Tamandua tetradactyla: one gene and its partners. The protein of the gene in region 1 purifies or fractionates together with the protein of each later gene. This does not show direct contact. Links are inferred from orthologs where the notes say so. Each region holds a gene or a part of one and is shown in the gene's direction. Other genes may lie near its edges.

What was found.
Region 2: the proteins of TRIM27 (region 1) and MAGEL2 purify together in Homo sapiens (affinity purification with western blotting; 3 studies listed by BioGRID and IntAct, with this or other methods). This does not show direct contact. The link is inferred for Tamandua tetradactyla from reciprocal best matches to the Homo sapiens genes TRIM27 and MAGEL2.
Region 3: the proteins of TRIM27 (region 1) and KPNA1 purify together in Homo sapiens (co-immunoprecipitation; 3 studies listed by BioGRID and IntAct, with this or other methods). This does not show direct contact. The link is inferred for Tamandua tetradactyla from reciprocal best matches to the Homo sapiens genes TRIM27 and KPNA1.

What each region holds. Positions count from the first base shown.
Region 1 is NC_135331.1:193,511,234-193,518,720, forward strand, and holds the start of TRIM27 (zinc finger protein RFP), read left to right. Parts: upstream 1-4,426; 5' UTR 4,427-4,465; coding exon 4,466-4,885; intron 4,886-6,035; coding exon 6,036-6,131; intron 6,132-7,487. UniProt on the Homo sapiens protein: E3 ubiquitin-protein ligase that mediates ubiquitination of various substrates and thereby plays a role in diffent processes including proliferation, innate immunity, apoptosis, immune response or autophagy.
Region 2 is NC_135338.1:79,416,014-79,422,965, forward strand, and holds the start of MAGEL2 (MAGE-like protein 2), read left to right. Parts: upstream 1-3,859; 5' UTR 3,860-4,029; coding exon 4,030-6,952. UniProt on the Homo sapiens protein: Probably enhances ubiquitin ligase activity of RING-type zinc finger-containing E3 ubiquitin-protein ligases, possibly through recruitment and/or stabilization of the Ubl-conjugating enzyme (E2) at the E3:substrate complex.
Region 3 is NC_135336.1:22,987,021-22,994,803, forward strand, and holds the start of KPNA1 (importin subunit alpha-5), read left to right. Parts: upstream 1-4,724; 5' UTR 4,725-4,912; intron 4,913-7,783. UniProt on the Homo sapiens protein: Functions in nuclear protein import as an adapter protein for nuclear receptor KPNB1. Binds specifically and directly to substrates containing either a simple or bipartite NLS motif.

The sequences.
Region 1 (7,487 bases):
ATGTTTGATTTAATTGGTTGGTGCTTAAATGAGAGAGCTCAACTAGCACAGCCCAAGCAGCTCAGCATACCTCATCTCAGCACTCTCAGCCCAGGCCTTTGGAGATGCCGAAAGGAATCACCCAGGGGAAAGTTGTTGGAACCCGGAGGCCTGGAGAGAAGGCCAGCAGAGACCATCCTGTGCCTTCCCACCTAAGAAAGAACCTCAGTGGAAAGTTAGCTGCCTTTCCTCTGAAGAACTAACAAAATAAATCCCTTTATTAAAAGCCAATCTGTCTCTGGTGTGTTGCATTCCGGCAGCTAGCAAAGTAGAACAGTGTATTTTATCTTTTGTGAGTTGTCCATTTATCCTTTGCTCATTTTTATATTGGAATATTAATGAGCTTCCATATTGATTTATAAAACTCTTTATAAAGATATTAATCTTTGTCTCGCTCTTTAAAAAAAAAGGCCATTTCTTTACTCAATCAAAACCATTAAAGTTCCTTGAGGAAATAAAACTTTTCTTTATACTAAACTTTAAGGTTTGAAATTTAAAATAGAATATCTATTTCCCTGAGCAAAAATCAGGAGTGCTTCAAATACTGGAGAGCTCATTTGTTTACCTTACTTTTCTAACTTAATTCATTTTGAATAGCTAAGGCATGCATGCATATGGTTTAAAATTCAAAAGATACCTAAGGTACACCAACTCCTCCCTCCCAAGCAGAATTGATTCCTATTCTCCCCTGAGAAATTCCACCATTGTTACTTTTTACCACTCCCACACCCTCAGCCATCTCTCCTTATCAATCAGAGAATGAAGCAAGGAAAAGCTGAAGCCTGAGAAATGTCTCCTGGATTTGGCCAATACTAACAGAAATCACTGACACCCTTGGGGTGGGTAGGTTGAGCAGAGATAGCAGGTAGGAATTTCATACTCATTTTTAAACAAAATATTTTATTAATAAAATAATATTTTATTTTTTCAGGTTTAGCTTTCATTGTATATGTATATTTCATTGTATATCTAAATAAGCAGCTTAAACAAGACAAGCAAGTGTTTTGCTTTATTTTGTCTTATGCACATGAAGTTTGGATGCAGGCACTCTACAGACAATAAGAATGTAAGTTCATTCCACTTGTGCTGCACTATCTCAGCACTGGCTTCCATCTTCAAGGTTGCCTCATGGTCCAAAATGGCTATTGTAGCTCCTACCATCATGTCACATTTCAGGCTGGAAGAAGTAGGAAGGGAGTGGGCATTAAAAAGGCATACTTCCCAGCTGAGTAGGCTTCCTTTTAAGGTGCTTTCTCAGAATTCCCACACAACTTCCACTTAGGTCCCCTAGTCACCCACAGGCTCAGGATGGCGTTAAAGCGGGAAGGAAGTGCTGGGTGAGCTGACGGTGCCCTCTGGCAAATTATCTGCACAGGATTTTATACTGTAGCATTGACTTCATGAATTTACCATGTTACTAGCAGTAAGAGAAAAATATCTTTTAACTGGGCATATGGCTATACAGAGAAAGAAAAATTAAGGAAGGAGTGGAAATTAGCTATTGAATAGTCATCAACTGTCCCGTTCATTTTGTGTCAAGATTGAAAAACACTTTTTAAATAAAGAGCTGTACCAGAAGCCCCACACTGGAGGCCAGGAGGCCAATTTCACCTTGCAGGCATGATTTTTAAATTTTTAGTAAGTTGCCAAACACTTAAGTCTGTAAATTTCACATGAAAGTCTAGATTTCTGCTTTCTCTTGGGAAAAAAACTAAACATTTAGCAGTATGCTGGACGGCATCCTCGGTGGCCGTAACTGGCAAGGGACAGGGCTACATTCCCAGGGACCGCTGTCCTCCATTTAGACAATGTCCCCAGCTTTCCCTATTTTGTCCCCGACCTGACCTGCTCATTTAAGTTATCTTCTTACTTCCAAAGCGCGTTTGAGTTTGCACCTGTCACTTCATAACTGAACAAATAACGTTCACAACGATGAGATGTATGCCAAAAGTATGATAGTGGAAGCATTAAATTAATGGCTAGTCTCATTATTTTGACTGTTCACTGTTCCTTCATCTAAGCATTTAAGCACATTCAATGTGTTAGGAATGCCTTTCAGGAAGACGGGGCACAGCCCTTTCTCAAGTGTCCTCACCTGCCCGAGGCAGGGACCCGAGCAGTGAGTTGAATTCGCCAGCCCCGCCCTAGCCCCACCCAACACACTTCACGTGTGTGTGCACATGCCAACCTTCCAGGGCTCCTTGGAGCCTGGCCCAACGTCCAAACTGCACTGTCCTAAAAGAGACAAAGTTGACTCAGGTGTGGCCGAGGCCTGGTGGCCACTTTTCAGGCATCCTGGCGTTCTGCGCATTCAAGAAACAATGGAGCTGACAGGGATTACCAAGTGGAACTCTTCCCTTTCCCTCTTCTCTGACCCCACCCCAGCTCCTCAAGGATTTTATTCCATCTTTTCTCACCATCACCCACTGCTGGGGATTTTAAGGAGTTACACTGGAAATTCTGGAAAACAAAAACAGCAGCGAGGCATCCCTGAGATAAGGAGATGGTGGGCAGCCTCAGCTACTTATCTCCATCTCTCATATTTGTACATTGAGTCACAATGTTTATTACTCCTTTGTGAGTAAACCCGAGAAGCATCCTTCAGTTCCTCCAAATGTCAATTTTTGACCCAATTTCAAAGAAAGACCAGAATCTGAGACTCTGTGATGTGGGCTAGTCCAAGCACCCCATATTTTTCTGGAATTGGGTTGGGGTTATTTGGGCCAGGAACTAGAGTTCTGTAGTCAGAGTGTGGTTTGGGGGTGGGGGGTGAACTTGGGTTTGGCAAGTTCACTTAGCTCGGCAGACCTCCTGCCCACCAGGGGAGGCCAGGGCAGAATCCTGGAAAGCAAAGGGGGAAGCAGACGCCCCTCTTGCTTATGTACAGTCTGCCAATACTGAGAAAATTCCAAAGAAAATTAGGAAATACAAGGCAGGGATGAGAGGGTAACACAACATAACTCTAAGTCCACTGGCTGATGGAAAGAGAATGGATGGTGAGCTACTCCAGGGCGGTGAGCTACTTCAGAACCGTGAGCTACTTCAGAACCGTGAGTTACTCCAGGGCCGTGAGCTACTCCAGGGTGGGCTGCCGCAGGCTTCCCCGTGTCCCGGGCTTTGGTAAGGAGCAGACACTTTTTCCGCCCTACTCAACACAACCACTCTATTTCAGTGGATAAATATCCTACGGTTATCAAAAGAAAAAAGAGGTATAATGAAGTCTCCCCTCTCGCCAGCGTACTCGTCATGCCCATCTCACCAGAGGGAACTCGGGATCTGAAGGGCAAACAGACTTGCTTGGGCACAGAAGGGAAGGAGAGCTGGGCTTGTGTGACTCGTCTCTGCCCTTCGGAAATGCTCGCCGGAGAGAAAAAAACAAAATAAAGCTTCCTGCGGTAAAGACGTTGAAAACGGAGCCAGGTTGCCCCTCTGCAGGTCTCACCCAGACCCACAAACTGCCCAAGGCGCAGCGCCACGAGCAGCAATGTCTGCGAACTCGAGGCCGTGCAGGCACCGCAAACAAGCCCCAAGGCCGGCTAAGGGAGGCCCCAAGGGAGGCAGGGAAGAGCGCCCCAAACGCCCCACGTGCAGCTCGCCTTCTCTTCTCTTCCTTAGGCCAAGACGGGACACGATCTGGGTGGAAACTTGATCCTGGGCTCCCTGAACTGCAACCCCAAGTAAAAGCCTCTACTGCCTTTCAGCTTAATTTGTTTCTTAGCAGACATACCTTACGATAGACTTTCCTTTTTTCTAACAAAGTCGCAAGGGCCTCCGAATGTGAATGGGGTGTTTCCACAGGGTGCACCACGTCGCGTGCCGAAGGGGGCCCGCAGGCAGCGCCCCCGACACAAAGGCGGCGTCCCTGCGCGGGCGGCGAAGGGGCACAAAGGCGGGCAGCCCCCGGGCCGGGCAGGCCGCCGCCGCGCCGAGAGGGCCAGGGCCTGCGCAGGGGCCGCTCCCTGCCGCGCCAGCCCCGCCCGGGCCGCAGCTCCGGGCCTCCGCGGCAGCGGGGCCGTAACAGTCGGCGGGCCGGGCGGGGGACGACGGGCCGGAACCGAGGCTGGCGGGGCCGCGCGCCCGCCGCAGGCCGCGGCCAGGCCCCGCCCCCGAGCCGCCCCTTCCGCCGGCGCCGGGCGGGGTCTCGGCGGCCCGGGATCCGCTCGGACGCGGCCACGTTGTCCTGCGCGCTCGGCGCGCGTCGCCCGGCCCGCTCCGTCCCCCCAACCCCCCCGCGAGCCCGCGCGGCGCCGCCAAGGCCAGTGGGGCCCACTCGGCGGGGCGGCGGCACGGAGCGGCCCGGCCGTCCAGGCCTCAGCGCGCGGGCGCCGCCCGTCCGGGGCCCCTCGGCTGCCCCCGCGCCGCCAGCCCGCGGGAGCGCAGCCCTCAGCGCGGGGCCCATGCCCGGGCGCCCCCGCGGGCGCGCGCCATGGCCTCCGGGAGCGTGGCCGAGTGCCTGCAGCAGGAGACCACCTGCCCCGTGTGCCTGCAGTACTTCGCCGAGCCCATGATGCTCGACTGCGGCCACAACATCTGTTGCGCGTGCCTCGCGCGCTGCTGGGGCGCCGCCGAGACCAATGTGTCGTGTCCGCAGTGCCGGGAGACCTTCCCGCAGCGGCACATGCGGCCCAACCGGCACCTGGCCAACGTGACCCAGCTGGTGCGGCAGTTGCGCTCCGAGCGGCCGTCGGGGCCCGGCGGCGAGATGGGCGGGTGCGAGAAGCACCGCGAGCCGCTGAAACTGTACTGCGAGCAGGACCAGACACCCATCTGCGTGGTGTGCGACCGCTCGCGCGAGCACCGCGGCCACAGCGTGCTGCCGCTCGAGGAGGCGGTGGACGGCTTCAAGGTGAGCGCCCAGCGCGCCGGCGGGGGGCTCGGGACCTGGCTGGACAAAGGGACGCGGGCGCCCGGGGGCTTCCCTTTCATTCCGCCCAGAAAATGGCCGAGCCGGACGCGTGCTTCCCAGCCGTCATTTCCTCCCTGTCCGCTCTGAGCCTCCGCGCCCGGCTTTAGGAGGAAAACCTGTGGCTGCGAGGGAGCCAGAGGCCCCCCAGCCCGCCCCTTCCCCCGTGGCCTGCATGGAAGGCTTGGGGGAGACCGTCCGCACAAAGACAGCCGCGCGGGCCCCACCCTGGCAGTGCCAGGTGTGCGTGCGCCCGCGCCCCCCGGCCCGCGCATCCGCGCGCCCCCGGCCCCCGCCCCGCGCACCCTGCCCTCCCGGGTGATTTCCGCGAAATCCACGCAGACGCTGGCTGGCTGCGCACACACCGAGCTCTGTCAGCATTTCCTCTCCACCGAAAGGAACACGGCTCCTGACTGCTCGAGCAGGTCATTTAACATTTCTGAGACTCGTGGAGAATAACAGCACAATTTTCATGAAGATTAAGTGAAATGGTGGGGGTGGGGGTGGGGGTGGGGGTGGGGGTGGCCTTTGCCAACTGTTGAGCCAACAGACTCACACAGCTAAACCTTAACAAGGAAACGAAGCGTTACACTTCAAACGGTGGTAAGGTAGCATTCAAGGACTGCAGGCTGCTGTGGCGTCTTCTCTACATATGAGGGATGCAGCAACACACTTGCAATTATGCATTTTAAAATGTGAGTCTGTCACTTCATGCATGATCAGTCACTTAACGTCTATGGTGTTTTCACCTAAATTAATTCACTTGGGCTCAGAACCCTTGAGTAGGTGGGAAGGTGAATTCACCCCTGCTGCACCTTCTCACCTGTGGAAGTTACGCCTTGACTCCTTAGTCTAGCTGCATTTCCAGAGACCATGCAGTGTTCTTGAGGCAGGGGGAGACCCACTGTGTGAGACACAAAGTGACCAAGGAGCAGCGTGGTGGCGCTGGCCCCTGCGCCCTGCACTGAGGGTGGCCATGTTGTCCAAAGGCAGGCCCAGCACCAGGAGTGTGGGGTCCATCTGTGACAGAGCAGCGGCGCGGAGGTAAAGCACTGCCTCATCTTGTACTGCCCAACTGTCATGCTTTTCTCAGGAACAAATCCAGAACCAACTGGATCACCTAAAAAGAGTGAAAGACCTGAAGAAGAGGCGGAGGGCACAAGGGGAGCAGGCGCGAGCGGAACTCTTGGTGAGTGCTGCTCCAGCGCGCAGCTGACACTGCTTCTGCTGCCCACTGCTCTCCCCGCCAGGGTGTTGAGAGTTGTTAGATGCAGGTCAGGACAACCCCCAGGGCAGCTGGGAACTCCCCTGCACACCCAAAGGAAAACCAGATCCTTTCCCGCATTTGGGGAAAAGATTCTGGAGCCAGGGTCTGGAGAGTTGACCTGCTGTAGGTGTCAGCTGCTGGCTTCTGCAGAGGGCCACATGGGTGATTTTTCTCTGAGCTGCTGCCTTCACAGCTCCTCAGCCCTGAGCTTTGCTCTCTGTTGCCTTCTCTCCTTGCTCCCAGGGCTTGCCCAGTGGCTGATATGCTAGTTCCTGATTGGGGTATTTGTGGGTTTTGTTTTGAAAATTGAGGGGAAAAAAATAACTGCTGTTTTGTTTAAAAATAAATAAAAATATTACAAATCCCCTCCTAGTAGAGATATTTGCACCTGAAAAGTAAACTCTTGGACTAGTAGTGGATAGTCCCACTTGTGAATAATTTTGTCATCTTCTCCCATCAATAGGAATTTTGTCATCATCTTCCTGCAGTATTAAGTTTGTTGGCAGGAATTTTTCCCCCTTGCTGTGCTGGCACCGCGCATTGAGACCTCAGCTCCCCTGGCTTGAAAATAGGCCTGATGGGTGGAGAACCTTCTCAGTGGGCCTGGATGGACTCTGTCGGAATGAGCAGCCCAGTGTACCTGGGCGCAGGTCGTGGAGCACAGGCTTGGCGTCCAGGTCTGCCCCCTGGCACTCCTCCCACCCCTTGCGTCATGGGCAGAGCCATAACCTGCCAGGGCCTCAGTTTGCTGATCTGTGGAGCGTGTAGGCTGGACCCACTGATGGTTTGTAATCACGGCCAGTGGTGCCCAGCCCTCCCCCCCAAGCCCGTGAGCATTTCTGTGGCTGTCACAGCATCTCGGAAGGGGGCAAGGAGTGACGGTGTCCTGTGCCAGGCAGAATTGTCCCTACCACGGTTCCAATGGGCCCTCCTTCAAGAAGCACCATTGAGTTGATCTTTAGTGTCTATTTTAATTTTCTGTTGCTGAGATTATATTTTATAGTTTATGTCTTTGAATGACTTTCCAGCTGAGGAGAGGAGTGAGCTTGTGGAAAGGATTTATAAATGAGGGCGTGTGTGCATCACCGAGTTGCAGTGAGTGACTGAGAGGGAGAGTGGATGGGAGCACATCTCCTGAGAAGGGGTGTTTCAACCAGCTGTCAGCAAACTTTCTGTAAAAGGCCAGAGAGGAAGTACTTTAGGCTTTACAGGACGTACAGTCTCTGTCATGACCACCCAGCCTACCGTTGTAGCACAAAAATAGTCAGACAGCACTTA
Region 2 (6,952 bases), on another chromosome or scaffold:
GCAAACCGAAACAGAAGCCAAGTATATAAATAATATGCACAGTACTTATTCCATTTATATGAACTTTAAGAAATGGCAAAATTAATCATGGCAAGAGAAATCAGAATGTTAGCCTTTGGGAAGCAGAGGAATTAACTGGAAAAGGGCATGATGGAAGATTCTTTGATAAAGTAAATATTCTTTATCTTGTTTTGGTATAGGCTCGTGGGGTCACAAAGCTAAACAAACAGAACAGTTGAGATCTGTGCATTTTACTGGTGTTAATTATTCTTAAAATAAAAATAGGTTTAAGCGGTATTGGTATAATTGTTAATAATGCTGGTTTTGGGAAAAATAGACCAGACTTCCAATAAAGGTTGCTGTATATTGCCAGATCTTAACCTCTTGAGGTTCAATCTCCTCATGTATAAAATGGGCTCAAACTCATGTGGTTTTTGTGAAGAATCAATAAACATAATATACAAAGCTCTTAGGGTAGGATTTTATCACATAGTAAGCATTCAATAAAGAATAGCTATACTATTTTAGTGAGCTCCTTACAAATCTTCTTTTGAATGTCTGTACTCTTGATATGACCTATGCTTTTTTCTTTTAATGATCTTCCTGCCTTTCCAACTTGTCTATTTGGAGAACAACCATGAATATTTCACAGCTTCTGATTCATTTGTTTTCATTTTCTTTGCCACAGCCAGCATCCCAATCCCCCACACTTCAAGAAGAAGTGAGTACTCAGTTGTTTGCATCATCTATGACCAATATGAATTTTTAGTATTGCAACAATATTTTACTGCACTAAAGCATATAAATATCCCTAAATGAGTATGAGACTCTGTGACACATTTTTCTCTGTAGCTCTGCACATAGCATAGAACTGGCTACATGGTGAAGGCTTAATAAAGTGTGTTTCATAAATGATCCTGGAGTTTGTGAAAATGCTAACTGATTATTTATCTGGAAATAACACCAAGTTTAACAGCTAAAGCAGAGAAAAAAATATGCACTTCCGGCGCTAATGTTACACTTTCATTCAGCGTATCCTTACTGACTGCTCAAATGAGCTGGGATACAAGAATAAACAAATAAGCCCAGCTTCTATAGTAGTTGTCTTGTTGCGGCAAGCCGGAACAAAAAGTATACAGATTCTATATAAACTTGGGACAAAAATTTTTTATCCTTAGGTTCCCTTCCCCCAATATTATCAATGACTTATTTTAACCTTTCATTATATATTTATGAAAGACCTGCAAATCTTTTCTAACTAGACCAATATTCAGTGGATGTTTTGAATTTGTGATCTTCTTCTTGTCACCTTGAGTTTTCAAGCTGTTTCATGGAGAAGCAAGTAAAAGAAAATTTGACACCTGGTTGAGATGTACTGAGGAGGCTTTAGTAAGCCAGAAGACACCACAACAAGAAGGGAATTTTTGGAAACCTATTTATGGTTGTGGTCTAAATTCCCCACTGGTCCCAAGGCAGATTTGGATTTTGCTGCTATTAGGGCAATCAGTTTTCACAGAGGAGCTATATTTCCCTTAGTTCCTCAGGTATATTTTATGTTCAGGGTAGATATATTTTGGGTCACTAGATTGAGACAATCATTTTAGCAAACTGTTTCTCAAAATAGGCAGATATGTTTACCAGGGGGAACATAAACTCAATTTACCTCTTTTACTGTTTTGAACAGAATCACTGGATCTTATGTCCCAAATTTTCTCTCCTATTTAAAGAATGTTACCAAGGAGTTGCAAAGGGGCTGTTGGATGACTTGATTACCTTCCATCTGTAATGATGCCTACACGGTTTTTCCCCCTTCACGATGCCAGTTACTAACTTTTTGGCTGCTTAATGCAGCATTCAGCTCCAAAATCAGTGAGGAGAACCAAGCCCTAAAGGCAACATTTATTGTGCGGAATGACCCACAGCATGGGTGTCTGAGAGGCAATACTTTCATAATCCTGAAAAGGACGGAATTACTGGAATAACTCAATCTTTGATGAGTTTATACTTTTGAATTAGAGGAAGAAACGGTACATTTAACGAGAGTACAAATATCATAGGCTGCAAAATGGGTTGACTTCCAGAAGCCATCCACAGTCAGAAACTTTCACGTGGCAGAGTTGGCGTAGGGGAACATAAGGGTTATGTGTGTAAGTTGTCCCTTCTGAAGTATTTCTAAACCCCATGAAATGGTGAAGTCCTATATGACTGTGTCATGTTAGCACAAGGGAGAGACCTAGGAACTGCAAACATAGCAGCCTCCACTCAGTAGAATTAGCTTTCTGCATGCCAGACCATGCGTCCAAGTAGTGAATGGCCTTCTCTGGATATACACAGCAGTGACATATCACCAGACACCCAGAATGAGCTGTGTGTCTTGGAGAAAAAAAATGTTCCTAGGGGATAACAACCCTGGATTCTCATTCCTTCAATACCCCAAAAGTCACCAGAATCCCTCCCCCCACACCTTTTCTTCTCTCAATTAAGGCAATATAGAACCTTGATAGTATTTAAATGCCTTCTCTGGGGGTATGTAAATTACCCCAGATTTGAGGAACACTGGTTAAGGAAGATTCCTTAGGAGGATCGGCAAATGGCCTTCATCATCCTTTTCTGCCCCCTTGTGGCATCTTCCATGCTTTTTATCACTGGAATCTTCCCCTAGGCTGTGAACAGCCTCTTCGAAATCAAACATCCTTGATATGTGGTGTATTTCCAGAAAGTTGCCCGAATAAACTGACTGTCTCTTCTTTTCAGCCTAAAACAGAATAGGGCTATCAAATAATCTTGATATGTTCTGGGGCATCATCTGTCCTATTTTTAAACTTATTTTTTCATCAGTAGATTTCCCAGAAATTTTGTATTTTGTTCATCTGTTTTTCCTATATAGCGATCTTGGATTATTTTTCACCCATTTTATTATTTTCTAGTACATTTTTTGTTTTCCTTATCACAATTTCTTTCCTTCTCTGCAACTGATGGACAAAACAAAACAAAACTCTATTCCCTCATTTCAGCCATCCCAAAGGAAGTTTTCCTCATAGTAAAATGCTCTCTTCCATTGATTTCTGGCATGTCTTACTTTCTGGGATTTCTTTTTTTCACTCTCTACTCCTTGTGATCCTTTTTTCTCTGAATGTCTCTAAAAGGCTTGTATTCGTAAAGATACTTTCAGGAGCTCCTTGGTGTCCTGTACCTTTCACTCAATACTCTTCGGTAAACACATTTTTTTTTTCCCCCACAGCTTTAATCTCATAATGAGTACTGGACCTTGACTTCTACTTCGGACGTCTTCTGAACCCCAAGCTGTTACAGGAGAGTGTCTACAGGGCATCTCTCCTTGGCAGTCCCACTGCACAGCAAATGCCCTACGTCCGAATCAAAACTATTCATCATCTCTTCATGTGCCTCCCACTGTGTCCCTAAGAGAGGAAATGGCACCAACAACTTCCACTTCCCCAGGACAGAAATATGTGTGCCTTCTCCATCTCTTTTACTCTTAAGTCAAATTGTAATAGCTATGTATTACACCTCCTAAATCTCTCCTACATACACACACTTCTTTCATCCTCCAACTCCTATCTGAGCTCAGACCACACCATCTTTCCCTTCTGGATGCCTTACATGCCGGTGGTCTGTCTCCCCTCCATAATGCACAACAGTGATTCTTCCAAAACCTATATCTGTTCCTGTCACTCCCTTGTGAAAACCCATGCATGAAGAGTCTGAGCAGGCTGCATTTGGGGACTGGACAGAGTGAGAAGGGATCTTGTGTCAGCCAGGACTTCTGGTAGACGCCCCTATGCTCTATCCACTTGTGGTGGTCGGGGGCGGGGAAGGGGGCGGGATTGAGCCCCCTTCACCCCTCCTCCTTACTGCGGAAAGCTGCAGAGCTAGCAGCACTCACTTCCTATTCAGCATTCAGCGGGGAGGGAGCCTCTGAGCAGCCACGTAGGCATTCTCTTCTCTCTGGAGGAAAAGGCCCAGCAGCTGTCGGAGGAAAAGGCCCACCAGCTGTCAGAGCAAAGGGACATGTCGCAGCTAAGTAAGAATCTGGGTGATTCGAGTCCCCCGGCGGAGGCCCCCAAGCCTCCGGTCTATAGCCGCCCTACGGTTCTGATGCGGGCCCCGCCCGCCTCTTCTCGGGCTCCACCAGTCCCTTGGGATCCACCTCCGATTGACTTGCAGGCTTCACTGGCCGCTTGGCAGGCACCTCAGCCTGCCTGGGAGGGCCCGCAGGGGCAACCGCCTGCCCCAGTGGCTGCACTGGCCCAGCCTCCGAACCTAGGGGGCCCAATGGTCCAGGGTCCACCTCTGGGAGGCCCGATGGGCAAGCCTCCGACTCCCGGAGTCCTGATGGTCCATCCTCCTCCTCCTGGAGCCCCGATGGCTCAGCCTCCTGCTCCGGGAGTACTGATGGTCCATCCTTCGGCTGCGGGAACCCCCATGGCCCATCCTCCTCCTCCGGGGACTCCAATGGCCCACCCTCCCCCTCCAGGGACCCCAATGGTACACCCACCCCCTCCGGGGACCCCAATGGTGCACCCTCCCCCTCCGGGGACCCCGATGGCCCATCCTCCCCCTCCGGGGACACCGATGGCCCATCCTCCCCCTCCGGGGACACCGATGGCTCACCCTCCCCCTCCGGGGACACCGATGGCCCATCCTCCCCCTTCGGGGACACCGATGGCCCAGCCTCCAGCTCCTGGAGTCCTGATGGCACAGCCTTTGACGCCGGGAGTACTGATGGTCCAGCCTCCTCCTCCTCCGGGAGCCCTGATGGCCCAGCCGCCTCCTCCGGTAGCCCCGATGGCCAAGCCTCCAGGTCCCGGCGTGCTAATGATCCATCCTCCAGGTTCGAGAGCACCGATCACCCAAGCTTCAGCTTCGGGAGCCCCGATGGCACAGCCGGCGGCCCCACCTGCGCAGCCTCTGGCATCCTGGGCTCCACAGGCTCAGCCTCTGATCCTGCAAATCCAGTCTCAGGTTATAAGGGCTCCTCCGCAGGTTCCCCAGGGTCCGCAGGCCCCGCAGGCGCAGCTGGCCACACCACCAGGCTGGCAGGCCACCTCGCCGGGGTGGCAGGCCCCACCACAAGGCTGGCAAGCCACGCCTCTGGCATGGCAGGCCACACAGGTCACCTGGCAGGGCCCGACAATCGCCTGGCAGGCCCCGCCGCCCGTACGCCAGGGTCCGCCGCCCATCCGACCCGGCCCGCCGCCCATCCGACCTGGCCCGCCGCCGGTGCGCCAGGCCCCGCCTCCGATCCGCCAGGCCCCGCCGCTGATCCGCCAGGCGCCGCCGCCTATCCGGCCAGCCCCGCAGGTCCTGGCCACCCCGCCGCCGCTCTGGCAGGCCCTGCCGCCCCCGCCGCCCCTGCGCCAGGCGCCGCAGGCTCGGCTGCCCACGCCGCAGGTGCAGTCGGCCCCGCAGGTGCAGTCGGCCCCGCAGGTGCAGGCGGTCCCGCAGGTGCAGGCGGTCCCGCAGGTGCAGGCGGTCCCTCCGGCAGCACAGGTGTCCGCGAGGGCTCCCGCGGGTCCGCAGACGCCCCAGGTCCCGCCGCGGGCCCCGCAGGCCGCACACTGCCCGCCCATCATCTGGCAGGCCCCCAAAGGCCAAGCCCCGGTGCCGCACGAGCTGCCGACGTCGATGGAGTTCCAGGAGGCGCAGCAGGCCCAAGCCCTCGCCTGGCAGGTCCCGAAGGGTCCAGGGCACTACTGGCAACCCCTACCCGCGCAGGAGGCCCAGCGACAGGGCCCTCCGCTGGTCCAACTGGAGCCGCCCTTTCAGGGGGCCCCGCCTTCCCAGAAGGCCCTGCAAATCCAGCTACCCGCCCAGCAGGCCCAGCCCTCGGTCCCGCAAGCGGAGCTGCCCGCGTTGCAGCTCCAGCCCTCCTGGCAAGCCCCACACGGGGCCCTCCAGGCCCAGCCCGCAGCTTCCCTAGCGGCGGCAAATTTTCACGTGGGTTCCGCTAAATCACTGATGACTCCCCCATCAGGTGAATCCAGGGCCTCTTCGATAGAACGTAGGGGTTCCTCAAAGGAACGCAGGACCTCTTCCAAGGAGCGCAAGGCTCCTTCTAAGGACCGCATGATCTTTGCTGCCACTTTTTGTGCTCCACGGGTAGCGTCTGCTACCCGGGCACACCTGCCAACTGCCTGGAAAAACTTGCCTGTCACATCGGAGACTTTTACTGCCACCTCAAGGGTCTTTCCCGCTACCTCCCAGGTCCAGCTTGCCTCGTCTAATGCCTTTAAGGGTCCGTCTGCCACCTCAAAGACGCCGAAGTCACTGCCACTTGCTCTGCAGGATCCATTTGCCTGCGCTGAGGCCCTGCCTGCGGTCTGCTGGGATCCACAGCCCACCTCCCATGCCTCACAGGCATCAAAGGCAGCATCCACCATCCTGATGGCTACAGCAGCTGCCCCCCAGGCAACGGCCACCACTGAGGGGATCTCGAAGACCACCGAGGAGCGTCGCCCTGGCAAAGTCACACGGAAGAAGAAGCATCTGGATGGGGGAAAGGACAGCAGGGGCCAGTTGTTGGCCCTGCATGATTGGCAGGCCCCGAGGCCCTGGGAAAATCTAAACTTGAGTGACTGGGAGGGTCGAAACCCCACCCATGTCCTAGGTGACTGGGAAGCCCCATGCAATTCCCGTGGCCTGAATGGCTGGGAGGGCCCAAGTACCTCCAGGATCCTGAGTGGCTGGGAAGGGCCGGGCACATCCTGGGCTCTGAGTGCCTGGGAGTGCCCAAGCACTGTGAGGGCCCTTAATCTCTGGGAAAGCCCAGGGAGCCCTGAGCGTATGATCATTTCTGAAGCCCCAAATCTCTCTCAGGGGCACACCCAGGATGAGCCCAAGATGGAGAGTCAGCCATTGTCTCCCTTGGATGAGAGAGCAAATGCATTGGTGCAGTTTCTCTTGGTCAAGGACCAAGCCAAGGTGCCCATCA
Region 3 (7,783 bases), on another chromosome or scaffold:
TCAGAGTGATGGGAATTTTAGACACAGATAGGCTACATTAATTTATAATTTATAGATGTAAAGGATCTGATTGACAAACATCGGGTTTGATAAAGCAAGCTTTTACATACAAAGTGGCTGAACATTTTGAAGAGCTGGAGACTAATTCCTTCAAGTTTATAAATCTGCTGTATAAGTAAGTAAAATCCTAAGTATTCTGTGTTCTAACACCTTTGTGGTGAGCATATTTAGCTTGCTGTCTTGACATCAGAATCAGTACAATGTAGCCATTAGAGAAGAGCTGCAAGTCAAAATTTTTCATTTGACTGTATTCAGTTTTACTGATACATAAAAGAAAATAATGATGTCCTAAAGGCTCTGAGCAGTTCAGAGAAGTATTAATGGAAAAGAAAACAGAAAGAGCAAAAATATCCCACTGCCTCATGGGATAGAAACATGCCATTGTTATTTTTTATTAAATATAGGTAATATCTGTTAAATTAGCTCTATTATATTTACACTCTTTTTAAAAGTATTACACTTATATATATTAAGAATACATAATAATATACCTACAAAATTTAAATAAGCAATAAAGAATTAAATTGCTATACAATAGGACAAACTATAAAAATTGTTATATTTTTGTCACATATATTATTTACTTAATTAGCCCTTCTAGTTACTACATTTAACTAGTCCTATTGCTATTTTTTAAATAGCATTCATATAGCAAAGTAGCACATAATTTAAAGGAAGCAACTATTTTTCATGTTTTTATGTTATAGTAATAACACAAATGTATTATTTATTCTGCCATCAGATTGGCAAAAATAAAAATAGACATTTGCTAGTGTCAGCAAGAATGTGTAGAAAAGACAATCATAGACAATCATATATTGCTTGTGGGAGTATAAATTGGTACAACCACACTGTGAAATAATCCAGCAATACCTAATGCATTTGTTTTCTACTGCTGTGTATCAAACTGCCACAAATTTAGTGGCTTAAACACATTTATTATTTCACAGTTTTTGTATATCAGAAGTCCATATGCAGCTTAGCTGAGTCCTCTGCTGAGGGTCCCTCAAGGTTGCAGTCAAAGTGATGGCTTGATTGTGTTTTCATCTGAAGGCTTGACCAGTGAAGAATCTGCTTTCAAGCGCTCAGGTTGTTTGCGGAACTCATTTCCTTGTGGTTGTATGAATGAGGTCTCCAGCTTCTTACTGGTTGCCAGCTGGAGGCTTCCCTGAGGACCCAGTGACCTGGGTCCCTGCTATGTGGTCTTCTCCATGGCAGTGCAGATTGTTTCTTTAAGGCCAGCAGGAAAGTCTCAAGCAATCTGCTAAGGCAAAGTGTTACACAGTGAAATGTAATCACAGGAGTGACATCCCATCATCTTTGTCTGGTTCTCACTCAAAACCTGAGGATTATAAAAGGCAACACCAGGAGCTGGAGTAATTGGGGACCACCTCAGAATTCTGTATAACACATCTAATAAAGTTAAAGACGTAATATTCTAGGATCTGGTACTTTCCTTGTACATAAGTAGGGATGTATAAGAATGTTCATAGCAGCATTATTTGTAATAGCAAAAGTGTTCTATAATTTTTCAGTTTCTCAAAATGCAAAAAGATATAGTACAAGAGATAGTAGTTTATGTAAGACCATATATGTATGATACTTTTGTAAAATTAAAATATATATAGAAATTCTTCTAGCAATAGCATACTGTTGTTTTGGACCAACACTGAGAATAACTGGACACAATATAAAAACATTAAGGTTTGTAAGGAAACAGGGGTCTAGATTGTAAGCTCTTATAGAAGTTACATTTAGTCTAGAGTGGTAATTACTATTTCTGGATTTTGAGAAGCTGTTTTATATATGTATAACCTGGTATTTAGAGATTAGAATGAAGCCGATCAGGTCAGGATTAAGGTAATTCAGAATACAGGGGTAAGGAAGACATTGTCTATACTTTAGAACCTCATCTACTCTTTGAGACCAAACGAAGAAAGGTTTATTTTGTCCAGAACCTAAATTTTCCGAAGCACATAATCTAACTCAACCTGTCTGGATAGATCATTTAAACAATCCAACAGAGGGAGCCCAGGATAAGAATGAGGGCCTTTAATCCTGTATAGCTTAATGTAATGCCTGGATACATCCCAGAGTATATTAAGCAGATGATCAAAAGTATTGGCAAAGTCCCCTGAGGGATGAGAGAAAAAATATGAAACTATTAAACTTTACCACCAGGAAAACCCCTGATACTGTGTCAAACAGTAGGGACACCCAAATCAATAGGCCAAGCCCTTGATCTTGAGGCTTGCTCTTGTGAAACTTATGTATGTAGTGGAGAAACTTAACCTATCTATAGGTATGCCTAAGAGTCACCTCCAAAGGTGTTTTGTTGCTTAGATGTGACCTTTCTCTCTCTAAGCCTAACTCTGCAAGTGAAATCATTGATCCCCCACCCTGCCCCCAAGTGGGACATGACATCCAGGGGTGAAAGTCTTCCTGCCAGCATGAGTCTGGCCGTGGTATTGTGGGATCAACAATGCCATCCTGACCAAAAAAGGGAAAAGAAGTGGAACAAATAAGGTATGAGTGGCTGAGAGAGTTCAAATAGTGACCTACTTCTGGAGGCCACTCTTATGCAAACTTCAGTTTAGACATTGCTGCCTACCATACCTTGCCAACCCCCAACCCAAAACATTCCAGCAATCCTAAAGAATACCTAGGGCATTATATAAGATTCTACAAAGCTTCCAAGCACTAGGGTAACTTTCCAGAAACCTACAACTTCCAGATAGGTCCCTGGACAAGATAAGTCCTGATATGCAGAGGGGCCAGCATCTCCAGAACATCAACTAGTTCCATCCCCCATCCCATATTATTGACAGCCCCTTCCAACATGAAAAAGTTAGAATGGGCATAGCCCAAATATCCCTAAGGAGTGGGAGATAGGTCAAAGGTGATGATGGAGTTATACAGAGGTCAGGTTTAACCAATGAGTATGATTGCTGAATTAAAATATTGTTATTTCTTTTAGTCTCCAGTATCTTAGAGCAGCTAGCAGTAAAAACCTAAAATTGCGATATTGTAACCCATACCACACTCTGAAATTTGTTCTACGACTAACTGTTGCAACGTACTTTGAAATTTATTGCTTTTTTGTTTATATGTTATTTTTCACAAAAAAAAAAAAAAAAAAGAAAGAAAAGGGGGTGGTTTCTTCTAGCTTCCAGTGTTTTGGAGCTGCTAGAAGGAAAAATCTGAAATAGTGGAATGGTAAACCATAACAAACACTGAAATTTGTTCTGTAACTACTTGTTGAAGCGTACTTTGAAAATCATTGCTTTTCTTTCGTTTGTATGCATGTTATATTAAAAAAAAAGTTTAAAAGAAAAAACATAAAGGCACTGAAAAGCTACTAATGTAAAAAATTGTGGGTCCAAAATCTGAAGTAAAGGGAAGTCATGAGAGGTGTGTCTGACATTTGCCACCTCTTTTCCACTTGATGTGCCTACTAATTTTGAAAGAAGTGACCAAAAAACTGAGTTTTGAGCTGTTTTAAAGAGGTGGGTATGTGGGGCCAAGGAGAGGCCCTGGTAATACCCCAGACGTTTGGTTGCAACACTTGGGAGCTATACCATAGCTGGGTGTAAGAGCGAACTGGAAATGAACTAGCCTTCACAAAGACTGAAGTCCACCTTTGAACAATCCAAGTATCTGACTGGAATAAGGTGATCTGCTCTTACCCTAGTTTGAGCAGGCATACAAATCCCTAAGTGTCTCCCATAGAACACGTTGTCTTGCCCCAGCTCCCTTGTTCAAACTTCAGTTCTTATCTACGTAAATATATTGTCAGTGGGAAGGCTCACGTGGCAGAGACAGATCCGGGAGATACGGACGTTGTCCTGGACATACGAACCGCAGATAGTGCAGGTTTCCCCAGTGCCCACCCTCTACCACTTATAAGTGTGCTAACCTACACCATCCATCTCTTTTCCTTAGTTTCTCGGCGTTTCCATAAAATTGATTTGATAAACCACGTCATCTGTGAGACTTTCTATTTCGTACCTCTGCTGAGGTGGCTTCATTTTTTCTTTTGGAGCCACTGCTTCCCCACATTTAACTAATAATTATTTGCCTCAAATTATCGCTTGAGAGTACTTAGTGAGAGTAAAACCAGTGTTTTGTTTCACTTAGTTTCTTAATTTAAAAAACAAATCATTTATTCATACATTATCAGGTAAAGAGGATGGAAGAGAATTAAAAATGGAATCCACAATTCCTGCAAACGTGCAGCAAGCGAACGCCTTCTTAGACGTGAGGCCACTCACTTTTAATATTTTTAAAATACTCCCCCGTGCTTCAATCATTCCATCATTCGTACAGTAAACATGTATTAGGTATCTACCATGTTGGAGGCTAGATATAAAGGAGTGAGTGGGGCTCTATCCGCCCTTCGAAGAGCTTAGTGAAGACAGGTTTGTAAACATGATTTTGCAATTCCGCGTAAGAAGTACCGTCTCACTGTCACTCTTCTACGATTCTCCAACCTTTTCCATTGACTACAAACCTCGTCCTCAGCGAGATCCTTCCCGGACCCCCAACTCCGTACTGATTCGGGACTAATGGCGTGGTGGGTCAAGTAAGATCTTAGGCAGACTACATCTCCCGGCAGCCTCTGCAGCGGTGGAAGTGGTGGGACCCGCGCAGGCGCGTGGGCTGGTCCCTTCACGCAAGCGCGCTGCGAACGCCGGCTGATCAGGGTCTTGCTCCTCGGTGCGCGGCGGCGGAGAGAGAGGCCTGGTGAGCACCGCTGAGGCGCGAGACCAGCTCCTCAGGGTTGCGCAGGAGAGGCACGGCCGGCGAGCGTGCGGCTCCACCACTGGCACCGGGATCGGTTGCCTTGAGCCTGGTGAGTGCGGGGACCCTGTAGTCCCGGCCCCTCCCCCTCCCGCAGGCGAACCCGGGCAGTTCTCGTAGGGACCCGGGTGAGGCCCGGGGACGAGGTCGGGCGCCGGCTGGGTCTCGAGCTCGGGTCTCTGAGGCCGGGCACTCCTGGCGTGTCCGTGCGTCACGAGCCCGGCTGTCCTAACGGCCGCGCGGCCGGCTGAGGGGAGGGTGGGGGTGGGGAGTGCTAGTGTGATCGCCGTCAGGAGCGCCGGTCGAGGCGGGGCGGCGCGGCCGCGGAGCTGGAAGCGGCACGGGGACTGCGGGGCGCAGAGTCAGCGGGGCGGGGAGTAGGCGCGCGCGGAGCTTGCGCCGCGGCTGGGCGCGAGCCGGCGAGGGGCGGGGGTGGGCGCCGCAGAGTACTGTGACAGAGGCAGGAAAGTGTCGGGGTGGCGTGTAAAAATCCTCACCGAGACAGGAAGGGACCATCTTGGGAATTCACAAGTTATAGCCGGAGCCGGAGGTTGGGGTGGGGTGAGCGGGACTGCAGTTTACAAATGTCATAACAACATGGGCCTGAAGCGGCTGACAGGGGTGTGGTAATTATAGGAATTACAGAACTTCGTGTGTTCATATCGTATGTAAGTGGTGAAACGGGGGAAACAGCGAAGTATAAGATTAAGCTCAGAATGTGAGGAGAAAACTGAGGGACGAGTGGAGTCGGGGAAGTTGTCATGTCACGAAGGAACGACTTAGGGTGGAGTGAATGTACTTAATGTTCCACTTATAAAGGAAAGGGTAAGGCTTAAACTTAGAAGCAATTGCAAAATATTTTTCTAAAAGTGTTAAATTGTATTAATAGCTTTTCATCCTTTAAAAAAAAAATTGACGGTTCCCCCAACCCCCTATTTCTTAGCAGTAGTTGTTTCAAGATTAATTCTTTACATTGTTCTTGCTTTTGTAATATTTTGAAAATAACCAGAAGTTGTTCCACCCTCCTCCCATTTTAAAGATTAAAGAGATAAAATTTTGTTTTTTTTTGTTTTCTTTCCCAGAGAAAAGTGCGAATGTGCTGTATTGGGCTTTTATTGAAAAAAAATTATTCTTGGAAGGTACTGATGATTTTAAGATGGAGGTCTTGAGAGAAAGTACAGGAATTAATATTTATTGAGCTTTTTTTTTTACATCTTTTATTTACATATTTAATGCTTATAATACCTTACATATTTTATTTACGTATTTAATGCTTGTAATAACTCTGAAATAGATGATATACTAACTTTTCCTATTTTACAGATGAAAACATTGTATGTCAGAGAAATTAACTTACTTAAGGTCAACCAGCTTTTGTTGGAACCAGTTTTACCACCCCAAATCACTGCCATTTTAAGACCTACCCCTCTGCTTACATACTTCTTGGTTGTGTTTTCTTTTTTTAATCCATTCAGCAAATACTATGGAGTGATTCTTTGCTCGGAGCTGGGGATATAGTCCTGATCAAGACATATTGTCCCTGTCCTCATTGCATTTACAGTGTAGCAGGGAAGACTAGCAATACAAATAATATCTGCATGACATATTATTAAATGGAAGCAGACAACATAAGCCTTGAGAAGCTTAGAGTCCAGCAGGGAAACAAAATATTACATTTGTAGAAACCTAGAATAAACCCAATGACAGAAATAAACCCATCACTTGAAATCATTATACTTTTTGCATTATGTTACTTTAGCTTCTTGTCAACATTTCTTCACAGAACTATTAATATTTTGCACCTTGATTTTTACCTAGGATTGGGTATATAAGAAGGGACAACACGGAAAAAATCTTGTTCCATTGCTGTCCAAGATACTGTTTCTAATTTACTTCTTATAAAATAGGGACCTTAGAGACAACATCTAAAGAGTGTAGTGCTAGGACTTTTTCTTTGTTTTAAGCAAATAACTGCTTTTTATTAGAGCATGATTGTTTTGTAAGTCATCCTGCTTCTTTTTATACTTTGGCTTTCAGGAGGCTCATCAGAGCTAACTTGTGTTCAGTTTTTGTAATTTTCCTTAGCCTCAACTATATTATAACTTACTTTATGCTAAATAGTCTAGAATTGTGCTCAGTTGTTTTGTTCTTTGTTCTCTTTTGCTCTTCCATATTTTATCTTTTCCCTTTCATTTCAAGATAAGAATTATCTTTTTGTCTCCAGCATTTTAGCAGTGTTGAATTAATGAAAAAATAAAGTCTTGATCATTTTTTGTGATGTCTCTGCCTTTGTAAGTCCATCAATTTTTTTTAAAAGAATATAAATACTGTGCAGTTATGACTTTTGGTTGGTCATGCAAATAAAGATTATTTAGTGAATTTAAAAATCTCTTGTAAAGAGAAAAAACCAAACAAACTAAAAAAATCTCATTTTCCTTTTTATTTTGTTGTAAGAGCTTTCTGTACTTTTTAGGGTATTATGAATTCAGCCATAAAAATGGAGAAAACATTGGAAAAGGTAAACAGTTAAATTAGCTGATTTGGGGCGATTTCACTCTTGTCTTGCTGCAGTGAGTAGGAGGTTGTCCTAAGTCATCTGGGTGGGAGTGGGGGCAGGATGGGGGTCAGAAAAAGCCTGCAATAGAAAATTTTGAGGTCAGTGAAAAAGCCTGGATAAAGTCTGATGGGATATACAGTTGTTGTTATTTCTAAGATAGTACAACCCTAGAAAACAAACCTAAGTGAAAAAATAGTTCTATTGTTGTAGACTAACTGGGACAGTTCTTGAAAGCAGCCAGTAATCCAGCATGTGGATGACGGGGATTATCTTCACATAACAAGAATAATGCTGCCCTTCGTGTACAAGAATAAGTCTGCTTATTCATCACATAAGATTCTAGTCTAAAAGTTATTTTTATTCAAA